4 linked regions of the Saccharomyces cerevisiae S288C genome follow. Changing the gene in region 3 together with the main gene of any one other region gives a genetic interaction. Each region holds a gene or a part of one and is shown on either strand. Other genes may lie near its edges.

Evidence for each region.
Region 1: mutations in MSN5 (region 3) and TAF8 together harm fitness more than expected from each alone (negative genetic interaction), as found in Saccharomyces cerevisiae (2 studies listed by BioGRID).
Region 2: mutations in MSN5 (region 3) and VAM10 together harm fitness more than expected from each alone (negative genetic interaction), as found in Saccharomyces cerevisiae (2 studies listed by BioGRID).
Region 4: mutations in MSN5 (region 3) and CDC43 together harm fitness more than expected from each alone (negative genetic interaction), as found in Saccharomyces cerevisiae (3 studies listed by BioGRID).

The regions. Positions count from the first base shown.
Region 1 is NC_001145.3:40,820-46,437, forward strand, and holds TAF8 (Taf8p), read right to left. Parts: upstream 2,757-5,618; coding exon 1,224-2,756; downstream 1-1,223. Other genes in the region: VAN1 (Van1p), read right to left, coding at 1-975; DAT1 (Dat1p), read left to right, coding at 3,226-3,972; CTK3 (Ctk3p), read left to right, coding at 4,244-5,134. UniProt on the Saccharomyces cerevisiae protein: Functions as a component of the DNA-binding general transcription factor complex TFIID. Binding of TFIID to a promoter (with or without TATA element) is the initial step in pre-initiation complex (PIC) formation.
Region 2 is NC_001147.6:452,495-456,936, forward strand, and holds VAM10 (Vam10p), read right to left. Parts: upstream 1,720-4,442; coding exon 1,375-1,719; downstream 1-1,374. Other genes in the region: ALG8 (dolichyl-P-Glc:Glc1Man(9)GlcNAc(2)-PP-dolichol alpha-1,3-glucosyltransferase), read right to left, coding at 1-968; VPS5 (sorting nexin 1), read left to right, coding at 1,274-3,301; GTPase-activating protein GYP1, read right to left, coding at 3,413-4,442. UniProt on the Saccharomyces cerevisiae protein: Required for vacuolar fusion. Involved in the early steps of the fusion pathway.
Region 3 is NC_001136.10:1,139,481-1,145,342, forward strand, and holds MSN5 (karyopherin MSN5), read left to right. Parts: upstream 1-1,687; coding exon 1,688-5,362; downstream 5,363-5,862. Other genes in the region: chromatin-remodeling protein SWR1, read left to right, coding at 1-996; translation initiation/elongation factor MRX8, read left to right, coding at 5,612-5,862.
Region 4 is NC_001139.9:210,750-215,711, reverse strand, and holds CDC43 (protein geranylgeranyltransferase type I subunit CDC43), read right to left. Parts: upstream 1,632-4,962; coding exon 501-1,631; downstream 1-500. Other genes in the region: LYS5 (holo-[acyl-carrier-protein] synthase), read left to right, coding at 1-434; AMS1 (alpha-mannosidase), read right to left, coding at 2,045-4,962. UniProt on the Saccharomyces cerevisiae protein: Catalyzes the transfer of a geranyl-geranyl moiety from geranyl-geranyl diphosphate to proteins having the C-terminal sequence Cys-Ile-Ile-Leu or Cys-Val-Leu-Leu. Acts, among other substrates, on Rho1 and Rho2 and CDC42 proteins.

The sequences.
Region 1 (5,618 bases), on a different chromosome or scaffold from region 3:
TCTGTCACTAAAACCTTGTCCAATTACTTGGCCAAAATCCTTTTGGAAAATTTGTACTGATCTAAATGGCTTGTCATAATTTTCATGGAATGGTGGTGAAAATGCCTGGTGGACACGGTTGATATAACCTTCGTCCATATATTTAAGATATAATTTATCGGTGCCTTTTGTTTGCGAATCAATGACAGCGTCAATCTCTTGAAAAATCTGAGACAACGTGCCATTTTGTAAGTGCCTAGAATACGCTATTAAAGCATCCAACGTAGTGTCACCTTCTGAGCAATCACTGACTAAAAAGGCCAGATCAATCAGCTCGTGTGGATAGGTTAGGTTCATTAAATGCTTGAACATTAATGGCAATACATCCGCAGCGTTTCTTAGTGGAATGCATAAAAGAATGTGATCACGTGTTTCCAATCCATTCGGAGCACCTTCAAAATTCGACAGGTCGTACTCCTCAACAGTGGAATCAAAAAGCATGTTGAGTTCCCTTTGGTATTTTTCATCATCCTTGGGAGTCAACACTTCTGAACCAAATTGTGATATTAGATAATGTTGCACACCATCATCAAATTTTGAAATCACTTCAGGATCGATATCCTCAAAATCATAGTCGTAATATTCTTCATCTTCTAGGTCGATAGTCTTGTAATTTTCGGAGGATTTTGAGGAACCCAACAACGACCTACCATTTTGCGTGGATACACCAATGCCCATTCCGGAGAGAAATGATATAAAGAGATATAACGACAGAACGGCGATAATAATAAGAGATGTGATACTCACCGTAAGCTGGAATTTAGACGGTGTGGAGCGCGGCTGGTACCTGTATTTGCCCTTTAATGAGTTGGAGTTATGCTCTGAGCGTTTGTCCTTGATGTTGTTCGAGCTACCGTTCCTTGAAATGGGCAGGCTTAGTCCATTGTCCATGGCTTTCTTCTTTATATTTGACCTTAAATTAAAAAACATGCCCATTTTTTTGTGTTAATTGGTAGGTCAACAAGCTCAAATGACTGTTACTGCACCCTTACGTCTACTTCTTTCACGTTACCATTTACTAATTTACAAGACGTAAACTTTCTTTGATTCTAAATATTTCAAGCCTTGTTTCGGTATAGTCGCCGAAGAACGAAAAAAAAAAAAAAAAAAAATTCCTCTCCGGAGATAAATTGAATACGTATTATTATATTAGGGACAAACACTGGTTCACTGAAAGCAGTTGTTTACATAGTTATATCGTGATCTGTGGCTATATCTGCAGGAGGAGATGTCGGGGCGTTTTCATTAGGCGTCGAATGAGGAGAGTGACTTGTAGTAGCATCGATATTGGTTGTGTTATGTGCTACAGGTGTAGTATTTGTAGTATCTTGCGCTGTCATTGTTGGCGGTTCCGATTCCGCGACCAGGTTCTCCGCAGGCATACTCGACATTTCATTCTCATCTTCACTGCTCCCTAAGATGCCAAATAAGTTTATGTCATCGTCCTCATCCTCGGCGTTTGTGTTGATAACTATGGTAGAGTTGTTTAATGCATTAGGGGTGGTCGTGTCGTCTGCAGCGTCCCTTGCGTGCTCGTTATTTAGTAGAAGCTCAAGATCATGGCCTTCATCTTGTTCCCTCTTTGTTCGTTGTGAAATAAGCTCTTCTTGCCGACGTTTTAGCGATTTTGCTCTTTCTTCCTTGGCCATTCGTATTTTTTCCTTCTTCAACTTCTGGACCTTAGGTAAATTGTGCATGAATAGTGTCATAGACTTACGAAATTGCAATTCTATGGTTTTTTGTATGGTTTTGTGAGACTGGTGAGGACTCTCTGGAAGGTAGAGAGTTTCAGAAATTTTCAAGAATGGATTTTTTGTTCTTTTCAACTGATTCACTTCAAATTTCGTGACACGTTCTCTCGCCAATTCCACTCTATACTTCGCATACTGCTCGATATTGTTTTCATTGAAGGACTTTTCAGTTATGGTTGGTTTCCTTTCTTCCAGCGCGTTGCCCCAAATCTCCAATTGTTGCTCGATAGCGTCCTCATCGTCTAAACCCGGCGGTTGCGGGGTATTTGACGCTGATGATATGTGGGAGAGACTTTTGTTCAAGTTCAATAGTGCCTTTTCAGACTCTTGGCTTTCTTTTACTATTTCTTTCTTGATGGTTTTTAGATCAGTAATTGGATGGTTGAACTCAGGTGTAAACTTATAGGTATGGTCAGGCGGAAAGTTGGGCAGCCAACTCGGTATCTGTTTTTCCAGTGGGTTAGAGGGAGGCAGCAAAACGTTGATCTCGTTCTGTTGCTCCTCGATATTATTCAATTCGTCCTCTTCATCTTCTTCGTTATGCGGTAAAGCAGCAAGAGACGACCAGCTCATCAATTTTTCATATTCCGTGGAATGCTTCGATTTGATGAATTCTGAGGCCTGAAACTGCTGATAAAGGGAGGGCGCATCCAGGTTAAACTCTCGAAGCAACAATTTCAAATCTGCTTGAGAAGCTTGCGACCTTCTTTGTAAAAGTGTTAAATTGTGCAGGTTCCGAAACATGCCGTCCATTTGGACGGTCACGAGGTTGACCAGCTCATCCAATGCAAAGTTTGAAATGCAGATGTTCAACGAATTCAACTGGAAAAGTACTGTTTTCTTTAGAATTTCAACTACGGGAGCATCTATTTCCAAGTGACTAATTTCCGTCAAATCCGGTAGGTTCCTCAGCTGAACTATGGTACTTTGGGTACCGGTACCACTTTCTGACGTTTTGGAAGTCATTGCCCTTTATGAGTCCCTCAATTACACGTTTGTTTGCTTGCTTGCCTCTCTCTCCATTGCTTTTACTCTCTTTTTTAAAGAGTTCAAGATTTTCTACATAAAAGCATCGGGTAACACTCCCATATACACCATTTGTGCTTAAGCTGGCTTCTACCAGTCGCGTTTCAAGCGACTTTATTGATCGCATCAGCGTAGAACAAGAACAGAACTATGTATGCAAACAGGACTAATCATCTTCAGTTATCTTACTTTAGTTTGCAACTATTTATATCATGTTTTCTTTTCAACTTCTTTTTTTTTTTTTCGTTTATGAAGCCGATGCTAATGCATCAATTTTTTTTTTTTGGTGATGAGTTTTGAAAGAAAATGAAAAAAAAAAAATTTCTATTATTGTCAGTGGAGTTTTTGAACAGATCACCTTGTGAATCTACAAACTGTCCTAAAGTATATTGGAGCAGGACATTGGGTGATGGCGAAAACTTTGGCACAAGGAAGGAAACCTGGAAGCGGCAGAAAGCCCGGAAAAGGGAAGACGTTGAGAGAGGGAAGAAAGCCTGGCAGTGGTAGGAGGAGGAGGCAAGATACTGGGGGTAAAGAGACCGACGGGTCTCAGCAAGATCAGGAGTCGCGTCTTATTAGTTCCAGGGACATGGAAGCTGTGGACGCACTGAGAGAGTTGACGCACAGCCCGTCGTCTCACTCAGCTCATAATTCATCAGCAGCACCACCGCCGCATGCAGCAGCGGCGTCAACTTCATTGCCTCCATCTCTGGATTATACCCATCAGTCATTCATGGATCAACAACAACAACAGCAGCAGCAGCAGCAGCAACAACTACTACAGCAACAGAGAGTGGACGTCGTTCCGCCCAAGCCGTTCATCACCCACAAGATCCTGTTATCTTCAACGGGAAACTCTGGCGGCCACGTGAATTCAAATTACAACGCCGACCACAGCATTAATCATAATTCAAACCACAACCTTAACAGCAACGTGAACGTGAACATGAACTTTACTATAAATGGGAGCAATCAAGACCCGTCATCTTCTTTCCTGATGGGGCCCTACAACTACTTACAGCGGCCTTTCATTGTGAAACCATATCTTGATCTGTCCACAAGCACAGCAGCATCAAATCAGCCACGGACGCAACCATCGCCGGCAGCACATATCACTAAGAATTCCGATTCTACAGAGAAAAACGCAACCATATGACATTCATTTCCAGCATACCACTAAAACATTCGTATATGCCACATAATAACTAGTTGAGAAAACCATAGATATTTATATTTATATGTATTTGTACTTCTTTGAGCAATGTATATTTAAGACTGATCTCAACTTCAGCAACTGTTCAAATTCACTGTTTTTCCTAATTAAGCACAACATGAAAAACTAGAATTTTAGAAAGAAAAGGAAAAAGAATACCAGATGGTAGTTAATTTCTCACAAAAGCACTGCCAGGTAAAGGTATACAGCAAGGATGGACTCTCTTGAAGCTAGATTACAATTCATTCAGGTCCTGAAGAACCTGCAAAAGACGCTGCACAAGACCAGAGACTCTATCACATCATCGTCGACCACCACACCACCGTCATCGCAACAAAAGCTGAACAATGACCCTATACAGTTCTACTTGAGAAACTACAGACATCACTACGAGGACTTCCACCAATGTTTGTTCGATACAACCATGAAGATGGACCCACTAGATAGACTGGACGTAGTGATATACTATGTTAGAATAATAAGAAACTTATATCCGCATAGCCATTCCAATACCAATGTTACAAAAGTGTTAAACGAAGTGCTACTCATGGACATAGACTTGGTTTTTGAGCTTTGTCTGCCCTGCCAGGACTGGAAATCCCTCACGAATCAAGCCACCTGTAAAGAGCTATTCCTTGACTTATCCAAACTAATCCATTACGACGCCACCAGCGTCACGCACACACCATCAGACACCACACTCATAGACGCTACTACCTGGTACAGTGTCAAGACAGAGAGGACTACAAAGGACTATAAAGAATCATTGCAACGAACGGAGTCTCTGCTTAAGGACAGAGACTTGAAGAAATTGGCTTTCTTTCAGCAGTTCAATTCCGATACAACTGCGATCAACCCGGACTTACAGACGCAGCCAACCAATGCAAACATTTTGTTGCACAGGATGGAAGCAGACAGGGAACTGCACAAGAGGTCGAAAGAGACAAGTTGGTACATCGAAAGGCCCTCCAACGATATACTGGATGAATCCGAATTTAAAAGCTTGTGGACGCATTTTGAAACTACTGATTCCGGATTTGATAAGGACGATTACAAAAATATCAAGGCTTTAAATGACATTGCGAAGGCATCTTACATATATTAGTACCATGACGTTATATATATATCTGTGAAGAGAATCCGTATCTGTATTATATATACGTATATACGTATCAATGCGCGTACAAAATGAACTTGTCTTTTTCTTATCTCGATTTCAGGAAAAGCAAACTATTCAAGGTGAAACGGCGGCTAATTTTCCTCTAAGTTACTTTTATTGTAGTCCTCAACATGTGCAGACGAATAAACTTAACACGGTTTGCAGAGTGTGTTGTTGAGTATAAAACAGTCAATTTCTGTGGACCTGGCCGTAGCCTATTGCTGAAAACACACAAAAGAGGAGTTTGACGAGACTTAAAACAAGCCAAGGAAAATACCATGTTAGACTACTCCCTTCATTCGATGGTTTTACGCCGCATTTCTACACAAATGAATTTACATTCGGGCTGATATGGTTGCTACATAAGCGAATTTAAAATTTGAGAAGGTTCATTGTTGCCTTGTGGTTCGAGCTTAAAGATCATAAAGAA
Region 2 (4,442 bases), on a different chromosome or scaffold from region 3:
AGTATTTTATCCATAAAAGAATACAACGCCCAGAAATTTGGTGCCCAATATGCATGCGTCAGTCCTCTTGAGAATGGGAATAACCTGCTCAACACTTGCGGCATTTGATGAGCAAATGGAAGGAAACAAATAGTGAAAATTCCAACAACAACGGTAGCCAACTTCAAAAGATTTGCCCATCTTATCAGGAACAAAAAATCTTTGTAACTTTTAAACTTGAAATTGTTGACATTGAGAACGTATGCTCTCAATAAAAACACGAAATAACATGGCGCCAAATATAAAAATATATGCTTGAAACATATGGCTGTAGTATACAGAACAGCGCACAAGATGTATCTCTTATTCTTGGCGGCGACAATGGAGCCTATTAGAATCGCAAAAAGAAAACCATTATATTGGAAGTGAATGTGATCTATTATTAAAAACCCGGGTGATAGTACAATGCTAGAAGCAACCACAAAACTTTGAGATCTTTCACTTAGCTTTGTAGTATTAATGTATATTTGAAGGATGACAAATAGAAGAATTTCGCTGAAGATGACAGTGAGTCGTTGGAAAACGATTGTTGGCAAACCGAACTTTCCGATCTCCACTATATCCAAACAACCGTCATCACGTACAGATTTAGGAACAAATTGCGATAAAAACCATTCAAAATAAGCAAAAAATGGCGGATAATCCAATGTCCATTGACTAGTGTGCTCATAATACCATTCGCTGATGGGCAATTTATTGGTGATTGCCAGCCAATTTCTATGAACGTCAAAATCTGTACTGAAGTAGTCAGGAATCAATAGTAATTTTAAAAACAATGTGCTTATCCAGAAATTCCATAAGGAGTAGCGCTTGGATCCCTCACCTTTTTCGGTCGCGGCAGTCTTCAAAACCTTTTTTGGCTCGTCATTTTTTTTTAACTTTGCCTTCTTTGTCACAGCCATATTTTGCCTCGAACGATCACCTTTCATCGTAGGCTATCCAATAGACGTCAAATGCCTTGCTGACCACTACAGAACTGTAATGAACTTCAGCTATTTTTAACGTATGTTATTCTATAATTCTATACCACTATTGTCGTTTTGAAAAATGAAATTTCACTTTTCGGAAGTTGTCCGCTAAGAACAACTAAGTGATAACAGTAAATTTTAAAAATGCTTTGAAAAATGGGTTAAGCAAAGGTTATTTACTATAACTACGTAGTGAACGAAACCATATATCTCTTAATTTGCAGCAGGGATTTTATAAACTTTCATACATCCTGCAATAACAAGCCATGGACTACGAGGATAATCTAGAAGCACCTGTTTGGGACGAACTAAATCATGAGGGAGATAAAACTCAGAGCCTCGTTTCAAATTCAATTGAATCAATTGGTCAAATATCTACAAATGAAGAAAGAAAAGACAATGAGCTTTTAGAGACCACAGCTTCATTTGCGGACAAGATAGACTTGGATAGTGCGCCAGAATGGAAAGACCCTGGTTTGTCGGTGGCTGGTAATCCGCAACTAGAGGAGCATGACAATTCCAAAGCTGACGATCTTATTAATTCTTTAGCCCCTGAACAGGATCCGATTGCTGATCTCAAGAATAGCACTACACAATTTATTGCAACAAGAGAATCCGGTGGCGCATTGTTCACTGGAAACGCCAACTCTCCCTTAGTTTTTGACGATACGATATACGATGCTAACACTTCACCAAATACTTCAAAAAGCATCTCTGGAAGAAGATCCGGCAAACCACGAATTCTGTTTGATTCCGCCAGAGCTCAAAGAAACTCCAAACGCAACCATTCTCTGAAAGCGAAGAGAACAACTGCTTCCGATGATACCATCAAAACACCCTTTACTGATCCCTTAAAGAAAGCTGAAAAAGAGAATGAATTTGTTGAAGAGCCATTGGACGATAGGAATGAAAGGAGAGAAAACAATGAGGGCAAGTTCACAGCTTCTGTTGAAAAAAATATCCTTGAGCAAGTGGACAGGCCTTTATACAATCTTCCTCAGACAGGTGCTAATATTTCAAGTCCTGCTGAGGTCGAGGAAAACTCAGAAAAGTTTGGAAAAACCAAGATTGGCTCAAAGGTGCCACCAACCGAAAAGGCTGTGGCTTTCAAAGTTGAAGTTAAAGACCCGGTCAAAGTAGGAGAGCTAACATCCATTCATGTGGAGTATACTGTAATCAGTGAATCATCATTACTTGAGCTAAAATATGCACAGGTAAGCAGGCGTTACAGAGATTTCAGGTGGCTATATCGTCAATTGCAGAACAACCATTGGGGTAAAGTAATACCACCACCACCAGAGAAGCAATCAGTAGGCAGTTTTAAGGAAAATTTCATTGAAAATAGAAGATTTCAAATGGAAAGCATGTTAAAAAAAATATGTCAAGATCCGGTTCTACAAAAGGACAAAGATTTTCTACTCTTTTTGACAAGTGATGACTTTAGTTCAGAGTCTAAAAAAAGGGCATTTTTGACTGGATCTGGCGCTATTAATGATAGCAACGATCTGTCAGAAGTCCGGATAAGTGAGATACAACTACTAGGTGCAGAGGATGCTGCCGAGGTCTTAAAAAATGGGGGTATCGACGCGGAATCGCACAAGGGATTTATGAGTATATCGTTTTCATCACTGCCCAAGTACAACGAGGCAGATGAATTCTTTATCGAAAAGAAACAAAAGATTGATGAACTGGAAGATAATTTAAAAAAATTGAGCAAATCTTTGGAAATGGTCGACACCTCAAGAAACACCCTGGCTGCATCAACAGAAGAATTCTCTAGTATGGTAGAAACCCTAGCGTCTTTGAACGTGAGTGAACCTAATTCGGAACTGCTGAATAATTTTGCTGATGTTCATAAAAGCATAAAAAGCTCTCTTGAGAGAAGCTCTTTGCAAGAGACTTTGACGATGGGTGTGATGCTGGACGACTATATTAGGTCATTGGCAAGCGTAAAAGCAATTTTCAATCAGAGATCCAAATTGGGGTATTTCTTGGTAGTAATAGAAAATGACATGAATAAGAAACACTCACAATTGGGCAAATTGGGTCAAAATATTCATTCAGAAAAATTCAGAGAAATGAGAAAGGAATTTCAAACATTGGAGAGAAGGTATAACCTTACAAAAAAACAATGGCAAGCGGTAGGAGATAAAATAAAAGATGAATTCCAAGGTTTCTCTACTGATAAAATTCGGGAATTCCGAAACGGCATGGAAATATCACTAGAAGCGGCCATTGAATCTCAAAAAGAATGCATCGAGCTTTGGGAGACATTCTACCAAACCAATCTTTAGATGATCTGTATACAATAACTTTATGTGTCACGTTCCTCAGGATTTATGAATTAGGAGATTTTTGTTTTATATTATTACATACTATACAGTAAGTAAAATGAATAGGTCCGTTTACAGCCAGTGCGACGTAGCATCTTTGTAAAGAGATTGCCAAATAAAGGCTTCGCTCAGAAGCATTTCAATATCCGTTTCAGTCCAGTCCTTTGTAGGAGGGTTCTGTAAGAAAGTTATAGTTTCTTGGAAATCCATTTCCATTAGCTGGTCACTCCACTTGATGAGGAATGCAGCACAAACAAACACATGAAACTCATTCAACGAAGACTGTCTCATTTTTCCACTGTCTTCAACAGCATTGTTTGGTGTCATATTAGAAAGAGCTGTGGTGGGAGATTGGAAATCTTTTGTTGGTGTAACAAAACTTGCCACTCGAGGTTCTGTTGGAGTAACAGGAGGTTTAATGTCATTGGACGACATAGAATAAGAAGAAGTGACCTCTTGTGAAGTTTCAGATAAATATGTGTCCCACATCCTTATTACTGTACCCATTTGAAATTCTCTCATCAAAAGGCAATTCATCCATCTGAATGCAAACTGTATAAACTCCACATGTTCATTTTGAAAATGGTTATATAGATCAGCATCAATTCGTTTCACTAGCTGACTCAAATTCTTCACTTGTCTTAATATGCCTGGTTGTCCGTGAATATAGTTATCGGTAATTTGTTCGAGCAATTTGGTAAGACACCAAAACGTGTCCGCTTCTAAATCTGTAATCTGTTCATCTACCATATAAGTAGAGGGGTCCTTTATCTCTACATCATCTATTTGTGAAGGCGGCAGATATTCGGTAAGAAAAGTCTCGAAAAATGGTGTAACTAAATCATTAATACCTTGCACATATCCGCTAGCAGGATGCCTGATTGCCCAAAGATATAGTATTCGTTGTAAACTGTTCTGTACGGATTTGAACTGGTAGAGGGGAATGTGGGGATTTGTTCTCGGTATATCTATCTCTATCTGATGCCAAGTTGGGATATCTCTTGAGTGCTGGTCAGAAAAGGTATGTTTCAGACTATCCCTATATTCTTTCCTCTTCCTTTGTAAGAAACCCTCCTGTCTCTTGGTGTTCACAGGCAAATAA
Region 3 (5,862 bases):
ACCCCAAGTGCCGTCTCACTAGATATGAGAAAGTTGGCATTGGGATTAAATGATGACAGTTCGGTAGGCGAAAACACAAGGCTAAAGGTAATGCAGAACTGTTTTGAAGTATCCAACCCATTACACCAACTGCAAACCAAATTAACAATCGCATTCCCGGACAAATCGCTGCTTCAATACGATTGTGGTAAATTGCAGAAGTTAGCAATTTTATTACAGCAGCTGAAGGACAATGGACATAGGGCACTTATCTTCACACAAATGACAAAAGTTTTGGACGTTCTGGAACAGTTTTTAAACTATCATGGTTATTTGTATATGAGACTAGATGGTGCCACAAAGATCGAAGACCGTCAAATCCTAACAGAGAGATTCAACACTGACTCAAGAATAACGGTATTTATCCTATCAAGTAGATCAGGAGGGCTAGGTATCAATCTGACTGGGGCAGATACAGTTATTTTTTACGATTCAGATTGGAATCCAGCCATGGACAAACAGTGTCAAGATAGATGTCACAGAATTGGACAGACTCGAGATGTGCATATTTACAGATTTGTCAGCGAACATACCATAGAAAGCAATATCTTAAAAAAAGCCAACCAAAAAAGACAATTGGATAATGTTGTTATTCAAGAGGGTGACTTCACAACAGATTATTTCAGCAAACTTTCGGTGAGAGATTTATTGGGATCCGAATTGCCCGAAAATGCTTCAGGTGGAGATAAACCACTAATAGCAGATGCAGATGTGGCAGCCAAAGATCCCAGACAACTGGAAAGACTTCTTGCGCAAGCGGAAGATGAGGATGATGTTAAAGCTGCAAACTTAGCCATGAGAGAAGTCGAAATTGACAATGACGATTTCGACGAAAGCACAGAAAAAAAAGCAGCTAATGAAGAGGAAGAAAATCATGCTGAACTTGATGAGTATGAGGGCACTGCCCATGTTGACGAGTACATGATCAGGTTTATTGCCAACGGTTATTATTATTGAAGGACCAGGTTCTACTCTTCACCGCTGCCTTAGTTGTCCAAATCGGACTATATACCTATTGTGAATATTTTAATGATATATAGCCATAATGAATCAACAAATTGTATTATTATTTCCGACAACACTATCGCCTCTTGGTTTTTATGGTAATGTACTCACCATGGCATTGTTCCTTGGTCACCAATTTCTATTTACCGGGTGATGGCGGCGCGCCACAGCGGAGGGGCATTGCCACATTGCTGCGCGATCAAGGTTGGTTTTTCCAAAGAGACTTCAAGAGTACTAAGCTTTTGATGTAGTAATATTTGTCAAAGAGTTTTAAGAGCAAGATTCCATTGAACAGAGGTGCTGGAGTGACGAGCGTGTGTGTTTTTAGCCTATCTTTATTCGTTGAGCCTGTAGAAGAGCCGTTCTTTTAAGTACACCCTGATTAGATCCCCCTATTTGTTGCAACCGTTCAAGTTTTGTAGATCGGAAGAAGAGCAAAACAGAAAAATAAACAAGGCGAGAACGTAAGGTGTCATTGCATTAGCCATTAAAAACCATATTCACTCTTTACATTCGTGTAGCAATTGTTACTGTGATAAACTATTGAAATTATTTATAGTATATTTTGTTTTCTTCCTTTTAATCACTTTTTGAATTTTTAGAATCTGAAATTTTTTTTCTAACGTTGATTGGAAGAAAAGTAATGGATTCCACAGGCGCTTCTCAGATTGTTAGCGCACTAGATGTTATTTACTCCCCCAAGTCTAACAATTCTCAACGGCAAGAAGCTCAGAAATTTTTAGATGAAGTGAAATTATGCTCAGAATCGCCCTTTTGGGGCTACGAAATTGCATTGCAAAACCCCACTAATTCTATATTGAAATACTTTGGACTAGGATTACTAGACCATGCAGTGAAGAAAAACTGGAATGATTATGACGAGGGGAAAAGAGTGGCCCTGAGAAAATGGGTCATGGAACTTAATTTTGGGGTGCAAGATTATGATACCAGATATATTAAGGAAAAATTAGCCACTTTATGGGTAGAGGTGGCAAAAAGAACATGGGGTGAGGCTCTTAAGCAGACAAACCCTACGGAAGAACAGTTACTCACATCTTGGGTGGACATGGACAATAACCTTTTCGAACTTTGGAACATAAATCAATCGTCAAGAGAACTAGCATTAATAATTTTCAGAATCCTTTTTGAAGATGTTTTCTTGTTGGACGACCTAATTGTTTTGAAAAGGATGACGGTTATTCAACCCTTATGTGTAATGATTGTTTGCCCTATTGAAGTTTTCGCAATAAAATACAAATTCAGTGATAAATGGACCAAATTTAAAGCTAATGAAGAGGGCTGGTTTTCTGTTTGGATTCCAGAGTTGAATAATGCATTACAACAGAATAATTCTGAATACATCATAAGGCTTTTAGAAACTCTGAAGACGTGTTTAAACTGGCCATTAACAGAGGTCATTGTAAGAAATGACGTGTTATCCTCCTTATTGACTTGTTTATCCAGCAATATCCCAAGGGCGCAGTCAATGGCATTAGACTCGATACATATTCTGTTGACCCGTCCCTATAGTAATGAAAGCCATTACCAAATGACCATAGATCGAGTTTTTGATAATATGGACTTATTAGATAGCGTTTATGAAAGCTTGTTGTTTGATCCTACAGATGATATAGATGAAACGAAATATCCTATAATTAAAAAGTTCGTGGATATGATCAGTTGTCTCTATGTTTGTGTCCCAAAGATTAAGGAGACAAATGGCCAAATTCAAAAATATTTTAAGCTTGTATTAAAGACAACTTATAACCCAAGCTTAATCGTTAGCGGATTAACATTAGACCTATGGTGTACCTGTCTTCGAAACGATGAATACTTACCCAAGCTGGAGAAATATGTCATTCCTGATCTACTACAGTTTGCCGCGGATGCTTTAGTCTATTATGAACAGATTGATGGTCATATTTCCAAAAAATTTGCGGAGATTGATTTTCAATCCAAGTCCGAATTTCAAACATTTTGTTCCACTTATAGGAAAAGAATAAGAGACATCATTAGGTTGATTTCTTGCGTCGAATTAGACCTTACTTATGATTGGTTGAACAACAGATTAAACAATTATTTCAGCTCTCCATTTGGTCAGCAGGTCTTAAGTTCCACATTTTTGGACCATAAATTAGAGCCTTATTTAGGTGCCCTCTCCCAATACATGATTGTTGAATGTTTCATCAATGGTTGTATAAGATGGAAGATCTGGTATCCAACAGGAGATGATTATGACGAAAAACTAGATTCCATATTACAAAAACTGGAAATTTTGTCAAACCAGTTAATTGCATTAAATTTAAGAGAACCATTGTTATTGAAGAAACAAATCCAAAATTTTGCACTTTTTTTGACAATGTTAAAAGATAATGTGCTTTTCACACTTTTAGAAAAAATCATAACAAGCGCCACGATGGACTATCCAGAAATTAATTTGGAAGAGAGAGGCGCTGAATCAGACGCAGTTAGAGATTTGAGATATGCTTGTGGTATCGAGTTGAATAGGATGGCTTTATTAATGCCCGAATCTCTGAAAAAAATATACCCAGACCTTGAAAGTGTCATTGCCAGAATCATGCCCAACTTATCTTACCATGAAAAAATTTCCTTCAAATCCTTCTTATTGATCATTGTATTGAAGTCTTCATTAGATATGAAAGAGGAAAGATTTGCGGCTATTGTGGATCCAGAACTTTTAGCCTGGTCTGATAAAACAACAGTTGTTGGTCTTTCTGATTTGCATTGGTTTATGGAACGCTTAGGTATTGTTCAGATCGCAGAATATTTCCAGAGGCGTGATATCGACGAAAATAGTGACCTTTTATCAATTCCAATTGATGATGAGGGTAAAGAGCTGAAGTCGGAATTGACCAAACGTTGGCAAAGCTTGTTTCCTGTTCGTGCAACAAGAATGTTCATTCATTATTCAATGCAAAGTATAAAGACAGATGAAGAATTCAAAATGCTACAAGATCTGTGGAGACCTAGGATTGTCCCAATATTACCTTACATCACGAGACTACTGTACCAATTGCAATCCTACCACGATCCAGATAATTGGAAAGGATTACCTACGGTTGTGCAATCCTTCGTCAAGTATTCCACTATTGAAAGATTTTGGGAGGCCGGAGCTTCAAATAAATCAAAGGATGAGTTTATTGATGAACATATGAAAGCGATGCAAACCTTACGAGACTTCGCCGACTCCGTAGGACACATCATTAGGTATACAAGGGAATACACTCTACTTGTTTTAAGTGCCATATCATCACTTGGTAGTGTTTTTTACCTTTTGGACGAATCGCCCGACCTACTACTGAACTCTATTGCCATATTTAAGCCAGGTAGCAATGAGATAAGCCCTGGAGTTTCAACACATGGATGGAAACACATAATGAATATAGCCATTCGTCCTATATTAAAAGGTTGTCCAAAAGATTGTCTGGGGAAATTCATGCCCGCATTTTTGCCTAAATTATTTGAAATCCTGGACCTGCTGCTATGTCAGAAATGGTCCTCGCATATGAATGATATGGACATGAACCCAGTTCCAACTGACGATGATCAAATGACTGAAGAAATTTTGGAAGAGAATTTGTTGAGACAACTAACCACAGTTGTTGTTAGAATAGTAATTGATTGTGTTGGTCAAGGCAATGCCAATCCAAACAGTGCTAAAAGCAGGCTAAATAACCATCAAATGGAGATGAGAAAAATTATATTTAATGATTTAAACACCCTTGCTCCATTTTTGAAACTTTTGAACCATTTAATTTCCTTCAAGGATACAAAATGTTCATTTAACTCCATCCTAGTAATGAAATGCTGCTTAACCTCAGTCCTTAATCAAAACAACACGGTGGATGAATATTTCACATTTGAAGTGATGAAAAATCTGTTGCTAAATGTGCTGTGTAATAGTGCGTTTAAGGATTCTTTCCATGAGGCACTATATGCTTTCACTGTGATTTTTTTGACTCTGTGCAAAGAATATCCCTCTGCTAGAGCGTTCCTTTTTGAGATATCTAATGGTTATAATATTGATGAGTTATACAGAAATTTAAGGAGCGTGGACGAATACAAAACACAAAGGGCACTCATGATTGATTTTATAGATTGGGTTAAATCCACCAGTGGGAAAGAAGATGGTAATGTGGACCATGCAGGCGATGAGAGAAAAAGACAAGAGAAAAGGGAAGCTATCCTCAAGAAGGCAAATGAGAGATTAATTAAGAAGAATAAAGAAAACGGAGACATGCTGGATGATCCGAACATTGAAGACGGTGCTGTGGGTAATCTCTTTGATGACAACTGATAATAAGGTGCCATATATACGTAGATGTGTAGATGAAATTAGAGAAAGCAAATAGACATCTGAATCGTGCTAAAAATTGTAATTATTGTGAAAAAAAAAATTCTGTATTCGCAATTTTTTTAATGAAAGTCGGCAGCCGGTAAATATGCATATAATCAAGCGTTTTAATGTGGGTCTGAACAAGGTATTTCTGAAGATTTTTTCTTCACATATTCCCTAATATTTTAGCGAAATAGGAAACCATTGGCAATGGAACAACTGTGTAAGAGGTACGTGCATACACCGGCGGCTTTTATACAAAACATTGTTGCTAACACTAAAAGAACAACGCTAGCCACGCAATTATCTGTTGAAAAAGCTAAAAAAAAAGTTCCCAAGACAGCTCTTAAAAAGAAACTTAATAGTAGGCCAAAAGAAAGGCTTCCGAATTGGCTAAAACTAAACGATGTTTTTAACATACATTACGAAAAGCCATCTAACTCTGATATAAATAAGGTTAA
Region 4 (4,962 bases), on a different chromosome or scaffold from region 3:
AATACCAGGATGTCGGAATTGATATCGCTTCTCCGTGCAATTATGGCGGGAGGGAAGAGTTGGAGCTATTTAAAGAAGTTTTTAGTGAAAGAGAATTTAACGGTTTACTGAAAGCGTCTGATCCATGCACAATATTTACTTACTTATGGTCCTTGAAGGAGTCGTATACAAAATTTACTGGAACTGGCCTTAACACAGACTTGTCACTAATAGATTTTGGCGCTATCAGCTTTTTTCCGGCTGAGGGAGCTTCTATGTGCATAACTCTGGATGAAGTTCCATTGATTTTCCATTCTCAATGGTTCAATAACGAAATTGTCACTATCTGTATGCCAAAGTCCATCAGTGATAAAATCAACACGAACAGACCAAAATTATATAATATCAGCTTATCTACGTTGATTGATTATTTCATCGAAAATGATGGTTTATAATGCCAATTTTTTTTTTTCGCTTGCTCACATTTATGTAATCGATAGACTCTTATTACTGTTTGAACTTCAAAAACAGCACCTTTTACTAAAATCATTAAATATTTCTTGAGGTATGCATAATTCTCCATTAAATTTCCCCTCAATTAATGCTAACGCAGCGCTCCCTAGACAGCTGTGATATAAATCAGCATCTTCTTCGTCATTTTTACTAAAGCCTCCAGTTAATGTTTTTTGCGTTCGATCAAGCAAATAATTTGTGACTAGTTCAGTTTGGCATAGCATTTTCCAATCCTTTGTTAGTAAGTGTAGTGAATTTAAGCACCAAAATGCGTAACACGTATCAGCGAACTTGTTCTCCCTTCCCTGGAAACCGCCATCATCAGATTGATCATAGCTGGCATTCAATTCGCTTTCAAATTTCATACATCCATGGCTTGATACTTGCCTATGTAATAGCCAGGTTATGGTGTCTTCTTTAAACTTGTCTGATAGCTTTTCCAAACTAGAGAGTAAAGCTAAGGTAGACAGCGCACAAGATGTGTACCCTGAGTGTGGTTCATTGTGGGCACCGAAAGCTCCGTTGTAGCATTGTTGCGACATTATATAGCCAAGCAACTTCTCAGTATCAATGTATTCATCAAAGTCTTCTTTGGATCGGCATCCGCATATGTACAGAATGGCAACTGCGATGTAGCAAAACCTTAAATCGTCTGAATCAACCGAAGATCCACAATTTGTCTTATAGTCTAAACAAGATACAAACGAGCCACGGTCAGGTCGTTGGCACTTAGAAACAAATCTCGCCAGGCTTCTTTTGTCTAGTATAGTCTCAAAATACTCGTAATCTCTCAGCATAATCATGGACAACAATGCAAAGAGAGTATTTGGTAGATTAATCGTTGTTGCGTGAGGGATATTCATGACTAAGCTTCCAACAAATCCAGATATCACAGTATTTTCTGTATCATCCAGCACTGTTTTGATATAATGTTTGCGCATCCAGCCAAGATGATCGCCGTACTTCGCAGAAACGTTAACATCAAATATAGAGAGTCCTGAGATTGAGTAGAATATTATCGCCATTCTGTTCACGTCATGTCCCTGATGTGAAGAGGGAAGCAACTGTAGATGTCTTTCGAAAAATTTCCTATGCTTTTTAGTCACAACTCTACTCGGGCCATTGGTAGCTTGACACATTTTTCCACGATATAGCGGTGGGCAGAAGTGCTTGAAAGTACTTGTTCACGTTGGATAAATAAAGGTTTTCTTAAAATTGAAATTTAAATTGCTAGAGATGACTTGGGGGTTAGTGACCAAGTAATAGTTTTGAACTGGCGGGTGTTTTGATTGTATACTATAGTCACTGAAACTATTGCTTTTCCATTCTTCCAAGGCGCAACAACTCAGAAAAAAAAAAACAAGTGAATAAAACAGGTAAAAAAGAAGATCATTTAAAGGTTTTACAAGTGTGATATAAATTTTATTTTTTTGCTTTTTTATTTAGCATTATTTACTTATATGTATTTTGTTAAGACTATTTTTGGTTATCATGATAGAAATGGCATAAGTTTGGGAGTGAGTGAATGTAAAAAACAGTGAGGGAGACAAACTCAGAAATACAACCTGAATGAGGCAATCTCAAAAGGTCTCAATTTAATGGGAATTCTGTTTATTGCATGATTTGATTCGTCTCGCGTTGCTGTCAAACTCTTATAAACTTTCATCTCCAAGTTATCGACCTTCTCAATACGCTTCAAATTTAGTGTGGTATTTAGTGAAGCAAAAGATTCCCCGCCAAGAGATTCGTAAACCCTTACCACAATACTTTGTTCATCCCTTGGATTTAATGAATAGTTGGACTTGACAGCACTATCATCTTCGCCTCTTTTTATGTTAGACAAAATGACATTCTCATCTCCGGAAATGCTTATGATGTCATCAAAATTCATGCCAATATCTTTGGGGAGTTTGTATTTGAAGCAATAATTGAATTCGTGAGCGAGCTTAACAGTGTCGCTTGATAGTGCTCCTCTATGTGGATAGATAGCATATTTTATCTCATGAGTACCCATATCAGCATGCGCATCCGGAGCCTTTGGTGACCTTAATAATGATAATCTCATCAAGTTACCGTGTGTGGAAAACCCATATTTGCAATCGTTCAAAATTGAAACACCCTTGCTGTATTCAGAATAATCAGCAAATTTGTGATGGCAAACCTCAAATTTAGCGACGTCCCATGAGGTATTATAATGTGTTGGTCTTTTGGTAATCCCGAATTGAGTTTCATACGAAGCAAAATCGTTCCGAATATTAACGGGAAATTCAACTTTTAAAAATTTGTTTCTAGCATCCCAGTTTTCTACCGTCGTAGAAATGTCTACTTTACTTAATTTAGCATCAGTGACCGCAGTTGCATTGAGTGATATCACTGATTTGATTTTGCATTTTTCGGAAATTTGAAAAATGACCTCAACAGCACATTTCTCTTTTGTGTTGCAGGAAACTTGAACTTTCTTCGGCTTTGTTACATACTTGTATTGGTTGACGGAATAAAGTTCAGTATCCCAAGCCTGCCAGCCCAAAGGTTTATCATCATAAATAACAAACTGGTTGGCGCCCAATTTGTTTCTGCCATGTTCCGTGTCCAGGTATTCTACCCCCAAAGTTTCATCCGTAATGCTTGTGATCACCCCAGTCTTTTTGCAAATGATAACTTTCAACTTCCCATTGGCAAGGACTATATAGTCATCGTACCCGGTTACAGAGGACGTGTAACTACCGTTCAACGAGCACTCCTCAGAAACCTTTTCTGGTTTTGACCAAGTTAATGTTCTCATCTCAACCAAATCTGCCTTACTCTGACTCTGAAGAAATTGAACGGTTTTGTCTATTAAGGAAGTACATTCTTTCACAACGTTGTGCAACATAGGGACAGCCTCATACTTATATACCATTTCAATACATGATCCTGGTAGAACATCGTGAAATTGACATAACAAAACATTCTCCCAAAGTTCGTTAATCTGTTTGGAAGGGTATTTATACGAATCGGGATATAAAACTGATGTTTTGGCAGCTATCCATTCCAAATCATGTAGTTTAATTTCGGACAACCTCATTAATTTTTTGGTCTGAGCTTGACTGGTGTATGTCCCCCTATGAAATTCGAAATACAATTCACCACTCCATGTGGGTAAATCATGGCCTTGGTTAGTCCTTTTCAAAATGTCATCATAAAATTCATCAACCGTTATACCAACTTGTAACTTTGGAATAACATTACCATTTCTGTTATTCATGGATCTAATACGCCTCATTTTTTGCAGCATTTCCTCAGTTGGTCCTCCACCACCATCACCCTTTCCGTACAACATTAAACCGGAGCCGTAATATTCTGGTGTCTTATTCTGCTTGGCAGTACGCAAAACATCACCGAAGTGTGAATCTGCTGTATACGTATTACCAGGAGGCATGTGAGTCAATAATTGAGAACCGTCAATCCCTGCCCAGTTAAACGTGCTATGCGGAAAACTGTTGATGTTATTCCAGGAAAGCTTTTGAGTCAAAAATTTATCAATACCAGATAAGCGGCAAAGTTGTGGCATTTGCGAAGAATAACCAAAGGTGTCAGGTAACCAAAATATCTTTGACTTGAGACCAAAATGCTTCAAGAAAAACCTTTGACCAAAAAAGAATTGCCTTGCCAGCGATTCCCCTGAGGGAATATTGGTATCATTCTCAACCCATGTACCACCAACAGCAAAAAACTGAGATTGCTGAATTTTTGGAATTAACACTTTATTGAAAAATTCGGGATGATCTTCTAATAACCATTTAAATTGTTGGGCTTGTGAAGCAACAAATTTATACTCTGGGAAGCGATCCATTAAAGTACATTGGGAAGACCAAGATCTCACAATTTTCCTTCTTGTTTCTGCGAATGGCCATAGCCAAGCTGTATCTATATGACAGTTGCCGATACCATAAACATTTGTTAAAACTTGAGATTCACCTTGTTCGTAAACCTTACTGCTTTCTAAAAAGGAGTCAAAGTATTCCCTTTGTAGTAATTCACGACATTTACGAACACTTGAACGATCATTCGGGTCAAAAAGATTCATAACTGCATTGCCTAGTTGTCTTGCCTGGTGTTTTTGCCAGGAGTCTCCAGGTAGCTCTCTTGCAGCATCCCCTAGCATCCAAAAATCGATATACAATGCACGAGCATCTAGATCGGGCCAAACGATATCAGCTTTTCTCAAATGAAAAAATCTATTATCATCTGGTGGATTTATAGTGGATCCTGCACCGCAGCCAAACATACCATTATTACCAGCTTCGATGTAAAAGAAATGTTTCCCATCCGATGTTTTCGGTAAAACATATTCAGTCCTTTCACCACCTGAAAAAGCAGTCACAGGGATTAGAGTCTTTGGGTCTATGACAATTCCTTCGTTAGAACAATCCCATTGGAAAAGTAGTTGCTCGTTTGATTTAACCCAATCTTCAGGCAAAGAGATTTTCA